Macaca mulatta: one gene and its partner. The protein of the gene in region 2 purifies or fractionates together with the protein of the main gene of each other region. This does not show direct contact. Links are inferred from orthologs where the notes say so. Each region holds a gene or a part of one and is shown on either strand. Other genes may lie near its edges.

Evidence for each region. Proteins that work in one complex are often made in the same cells at the same time.
Region 1: the proteins of OSBPL9 (region 2) and VAPA purify together in Homo sapiens (co-immunoprecipitation; 5 studies listed by BioGRID and IntAct, counting the BioPlex papers as one, with this or other methods). This does not show direct contact. The link is inferred for Macaca mulatta from reciprocal best matches to the Homo sapiens genes OSBPL9 and VAPA.

Annotation. Positions count from the first base shown.
Region 1 is NC_133423.1:80,914,305-80,917,221, reverse strand, and holds the end of VAPA (vesicle-associated membrane protein-associated protein A), read right to left. Parts: intron 1,296-2,917; coding exon 1,137-1,295; 3' UTR 526-1,136; downstream 1-525. UniProt on the Homo sapiens protein: Endoplasmic reticulum (ER)-anchored protein that mediates the formation of contact sites between the ER and endosomes via interaction with FFAT motif-containing proteins such as STARD3 or WDR44.
Region 2 is NC_133406.1:188,884,260-188,887,802, forward strand, and holds part of OSBPL9 (oxysterol-binding protein-related protein 9), read right to left. Parts: coding exon 3,476-3,543; intron 2,266-3,475; coding exon 2,181-2,265; intron 914-2,180; coding exon 803-913; intron 539-802; coding exon 475-538; intron 362-474; coding exon 221-361; intron 1-220. UniProt on the Homo sapiens protein: Interacts with OSBPL11 to function as lipid transfer proteins.

The sequences.
Region 1 (2,917 bases), on a different chromosome or scaffold from region 2:
AAAATCATTTTTCATAAAGAAAATTCCACAGGCTTGCTCAGTATTACCAAACTTCCATAATGAACATTATTTTGAGTGCCAAATTGGGCAGGAAAAAACACCTACTTTTAACTATTATGAAATACTATGAAAAGTAGTAAGACTTACTAGGCTGGTTAAAAAGTACTTTAAAACCAAGGAGAGTTAAATCTTCCTTGAGAACATACTCTCAGAACTTAAGAATGGGGTAAAAATCAGATGGAGCACAGCCATGCTGTACACGTCAACTCACTGAAATCACGTAACTTCTATTCTCATGGACCTTATTTTCCGTTATCTTGAAAACAAACTGGTTATAATCTCCCAAAATACCAGCAGTACCTCAAAATTTAATCAACTCCTTTCCTGAACAGAATTAGGACTTTCAATTAAAAACACTGTAATATCCGAGAGGGTTTCAATGCAAGACAAACCTTTGCATCATAATTTCAAGTGACCATATATAGTGGACTCCCCTCCAATAACACGACAGACACAGACAAGCTATCGAGCAAGAATCTGTTAACAGTTTTATTTTTTTTTATGTTAAATACCATGGGACAGGATTGTAAGGATGAAAAACTCAGTCAACAACTGCCTCACAAGGGATAAGAAAAATTCTGCCATGATATTAGCAAAGGTAAAGGAGGAAAAATTTACACTGTAAGAGGCACCATTTCCCCAAGGAATACCTCTTGGCATTTCCTGAATGAGTGGGATTAGCAATCTAAATAAATCATATTTCAAGAGGTAACAGCAACAGATAAAATTTAAAGGGATTATTAAAATAACATTTACAAGACTCTGAACAATTCTTGAACTCTTATTAAAACCACAAAGAAAGAACAATTCTTTATTTATGAATTTCATAAAGGACTGAATGTGCAACTGACATCTGCTAGTGATGATCTGGTACTATACAATTTGTCCAGGAGCCGAACAGTTTGTTTTTATTGGGTTTTCTAACCGTGAGAGATCATTAAAGGCAAAGCCTATATGACGCTGTACACACAAAAAAAATGGTCACCGCGGGCCGTACTACCAGTGAAATGGTAGGTAAACAAATCTTTTTCTGGTCAAGAGAAAAAAAAAAGAAATAGCACTCTGCATGCTTCACTCTACAAGATGAATTTCCCTAGAAAGAATCCAATGAAAATGGCTGCAATTACAACAAGAAGTGAAGGAAGAGGACTGGTGACATTATCTCTGAAGGATGCAGTTGAGGTTGATCCAGGTTTATCCGAATGTGCTACCTTTCTGAGCCTTAAACCTTCATCCTAGGAAAAAAACAAACACACAAAAGAGGTTTTTAAAAACAAGCATACTAATGAGACTACTGGAGCTAAAAATCTATAGGGACGGAAAGTAGATTAGTGGTTGCCTATGGCTGGGGACAGAAACAGGGATTAACTGCTAACCACATAAGGAAACTTTCCCGGGGTGATGGACATTCTAAAACTGAACTACAGTGACAGTTATAAAGTTCTGTATTTCAGTGAATTGTACACTCACAGTGGGTGTCTCCATGGGATATAAATTATACCTCAATAACACTGATTTTTTAAAACTGGAGCTGAGAAATGTATTCCTAAAAAATAAAAGTCAGATATGGCTATATTTACCTTTTATTTTAATCCCACTAAAAACATAATTAAAGAAGAGTACTTCCAAGGCGGCCCGTGGTATTTAAAATCAGTTACATCTGTCCTAGCCCGGTCAAAAACTACCAGACCCGCAGTCTGCCAGTTGGGTTGACTGACCCACTGCAACTAAGGAACCGAAACAGCAGAGCCACAAGAGGGTATTCTTGCCAAAAACACAGATACGGTTATCACAGAATTTTGGGGGAAGGAAACGGTTTAGCGTGAAATTTAAGTCACAGTGTTTTCACAAGCTCAAAGCAAAGCAGAGGGCTGTGTGTAAAGGGATAGCACCAGGTCTGGACTGCAAAGCAGAGAAAGAATACTGTTTCTTCAGGAACTACAAATTTAGATGAGAAATGTATGTAGGAAACCCTTATCTGAAGCTCTGCACCTGGAATGGAAACTGAGGGTGCTTCTCTGTGTCAAAACGACAGATCCTCCAGTCAAGAGTGGGCTGCTTCATCCTTGCTGATATGGCTTCACACGGCACTATGTCCTTAGAGGACAAGGTTTCTCAGAAGAAAGCAGAAGTCACTCCAGACAGGAGGTTGTTACGACACTGTGTGCAATGTGAACCTTGGGAAAAATACTACTACCTGTTAACTATGCAGTTGTCTTTATCTGTGTCTGTTACCTCCCATGATTGTTTTACTGTGCTTATAAATAAACACTAACTAAAAGAGTACACCTAATGGCACAGTTTTATTTGCATTACTGGATTTTCTGGAGTTGGGTTTTTTTGGTCTCATGCTAATTAGTTCTATATAAAAACAGTAGTAATTCTCGGTTTCAGCTACACATCACAAACATCTACAGAACTTTTGATACTCCTGTGATTCTGATTCATTAGGTCTTGGGAAGGCCTGGTAAACTGTAACTTTTTAAAGCTCACTAGGTGATTCACATGCAGTGTGAATTAAGAACCATAGGGCTAGGGGAATTAAAACGGATAGTGAACAGACAGGAGCAAGAAAGTTAACATGGCAAAAAATTATGATGGGCCTGTGTATAAAATGCTAAAGGGTCTGAAATTCTGTAAGCCAGTGGGTCTCCAAGGTTTTTGTTTTATTTTTTTTTGTTTTTTTGAGATTTGCTCTTATTGCCCAGGCTGGAGTGCAACAGTGTGATCTCGCTCACTGCAACCTCTGCCTCCCAGGTTCAAGTGATTCTCCTGCCTCAGCCTCCCAAGTAGCTGGGATTGCAGGCACCCGCCACCACACCCAGATAATTTTTGTATTTTTAATAGAGACAGGGGT
Region 2 (3,543 bases):
TAGGAAGGAAACCTATCAATGACCTTTGACTGCTCTGAATATATGTTTTAGGTCTTCTTCTGATACCAGATTTTAACAAAAGACATGACACACAAAATGTGAAACAGGCTTACAAAGACAGAACCATTCTTTCACACTCCTAATCCAGAAGCTATAGTTCAAGACAAAAGGCAATTATTTCAGAAAAGCATAAGAGCTCTAAGGCAGAAAAAATACCTACAAAATCTCAGCAGTAATTCTGTGCTTCTTGCCCCCATAGAAGGGTTTAGTGTGGAAGATGATATTTGCACTATAGCCTGTTTTGGAACAATTAATATTGCATTCTCCTCCTAATTCCACCCAGGGCACTGTGAGGATAGACCTGCAAAATCAAAATTTTTAGGTAAGGTTGACAGTTAAGAGGAAGAGGGGGAAGGGGCATGTTTCAGGGAACAGCAGAGTCTACTGCTGATGACAGGAAATGAGCACACTTGCCTTCCATAGCCATTGGGGAATGTGAGAATGTAATGTTCATCATAGTCTAGACATGAGACACAGCCTGTGGAGAGAAAGGACAGAATCTCTGATGAGTAGTGCCAAGTGGCCACAAGGCTTTCTTGTCGAGTTGATGGATACTCCATTCAATTTAGGGATAACCTATCTAGCTCCCCACCCTTGCTCTCACCCCCAATACCAATGCTTAGTTGCTAACAATGACATCTAGTCTAGCCATTTTCTTTTACTAGACAAGTGTCCATCACACATTAGAATGACATAAAATTCTCCTATAACACTGTAGTCCACCCAGTGCCAACACACTTACCCTGCCCTATGTTGTGCACCCCAATTGACATCCCAAGGAACTTTGATTTGGTCCAGATATGAGCATTGAATTGTATCTTCTTGTTAAAACACTCAGCATAAAAGGCTGAAACTGAATAGAAATTTTCAGTTAGTACATTATATACCTACAGCCACCTCTCCAAAATTACATAACCTAGGGAAATAACTGGCTTCATGGGGAAATCCTTTACCCTTCAAACAGCCTCCAATTAGGCCAGGAGGTACCTACCTTTTATACCCTTTTCCCCAATGCAAGCATTCATTCAGAGACATGTGGACAGGGTCATCCCTGAAATGATGCTGTGGCCAACCCAGGAAGCCTAAAACCAAAAGGGCTATCTGTTCTGGTCTGCAAGTATGCCCAGGCTCCAGCCCCAACCTAGGCCCATCCAGTGTTTCCAGTTTTAATACTGCACTAAACAAACAAGATGTTGAGGGTATGTACAGTTGACCCTCCATATCCATGAGTTTTGTACCCACAGATTCAGCCAACTGTGAGTCTAAAATATACAGAGGCTGTCCTCAGTGGCTAATGCCTGCAATCCCAGTACTTTGGGAGGCCAAGACGGGAGGATCACTTGAAGCCAGGAATTTGAGACCAGCCTGGGCAACAGAGTGATACATTGACTCTAAAAAATAAAAATAAAAAAATTAGTTGGGTGTGGTGGCACACGTCCATAGTTCCAGCTAATTGGGAGGCTGAGGTGGGAGGATCATTTGAGCCCAGGAAGCCCAGGAGGCTGCAGTGAGCTATGGCTGTGCCACTGCACTCCACCCTGGGGCACAGAGCAAGACCCTGTCTAGAAAAAATAATAAAATACAAAATAAAAATAATACAAATAAAAGAAACAGTGAAATAACTATTTACGTAGCATTTACACTGTATTAGGCATTACAAGTAATCTAGAGATGACCCAAGTATACAGGAGGGTGTGCATAGGTTATATGAATATAAAAGACACCATTTTATGTAAGACACTTGAGCATCCTCGGTTTTGGTATCTGCAGTATGCCAGGAATACACTGTGTAGAAACTACGTATCACTTATATAAACTGTCTCACAGTTGCTGAAGTCTCTACAGCACAAATTACTATATATAAGATGACTCTGGAAGCATTAAAAGTTGGTTTCCTAAATTCCTTCTTTTTATACATACCTAATTTGTGAAGCTCAGAGTCTGGAGCTTACAAAAGGAAAAGATATGAGGAACCAATCAACTTGAGTTTCCACTTCAGGGAATAGGAAACACACAGCTAGTCACACAACTAACAGTAACCTCAGCTATGGAGCTTTTAATGACCCTCTTTAGACAGGACAGTTGGAGAGCAGAGGTTGCAGAGGAGCTCTGTGACTTACTGGGTGGATGATGGGAAACCTGCTCAGCCACGAATGTTACACTGTTTTTGGAAACCCAGGGAACTGGTCCTTCTGAAACTAGTTCCTGCAAGCAAATATAACATAATTTTCTTTTGATGAGAAAACACAAATGACATCAGAGAATCTGATAATTGGGGTCTCTGCTCGCTCTACACACACCAAGCACCCTATATATATTTCTATTGCAGAACGTTATTCAATATTTTAATTGCTTTGTGTCAGTCTCCCTGACTAGACTAAGACATTCTTAAAGGCAAGGATCATGTGCCTCACTCAGGGCTGACAAGAGTAGGCACTTACCAATGTCTGCCAAATGAGTAAGAACAGACACATGCTTCTCTGTCTTCAGTATGGACTATATATAATGTGTCACTTGGAAAGGGAAACATATGGAGAACCATGTTTACTGACAGATTATTATGTGTCAGGTGCTGTGGGCTATGGTTTTGTTTTTTTCACTTCTGAAAGCCTTTTTACATGCATTTGAGTCTTCCTTGCTGGACATTTTCTTCAACCACTAAATTTGTTGGAGCCTCAGTTCTGGGTTACCTACTTCTGTAGCTATGCTGTCTTCCTAAATAATTTTATCCAATCCTAGAGCTTTAAAATGTCATCTAACTACACTATAATCTTTGAAAGCCCCATCTCCATCTCAAACCTCTCCCTAAACTCCACACTCTTAAATTCCAACTCCCTTCTTAACAGCTTCACAGACCTCTAAAACTTTATATTTTATATTAGATTTTGATTTTTCCCTCCCCAAATCCAATCTTTTCCTTATCAGTAAATGACACTGCCACTGCTTAAGTCCACACACAAGGATTCATCTCTGATGTCTCCTTTCCCTTACCCCCCCCAATCCATCAATCACTTCTACCTCCACAATAAAGCTTGAATCACCATGTCTCTCTTGGAATAATGTCAAAGCCTCCACAATGGTCTCCATGCTTCTATATTTGTCCCTTCTCAACTTACTTTTCACAAAATCATTCTAATGATCTTCTCAAAACAAAAATGAGATCCTGAAAAACCATAAAATTATATTATGGCCCACAAGACCTTGCAAGATCTGATTTCTACATCCCCATCCTCATCTCATCCTACTCTTTTCCCTCCTTCTCACTACATTCAAACTATGCTGCTCTAACAACAATTTCTTCTATGGGTGGTGACCATCTTTTGATCATTGCTTTCATCATTATCATCTGCTCCTAAATAAAATCTTGAATCAGTATACAATTAAGATAATTTAAAAATGTCAATGCAGAACTCACAGTGTTCTCTTCAGTATCATTTGGTAATGTCCAATGACACTGAAAAATCTCGCCCAAAATGGGATTGT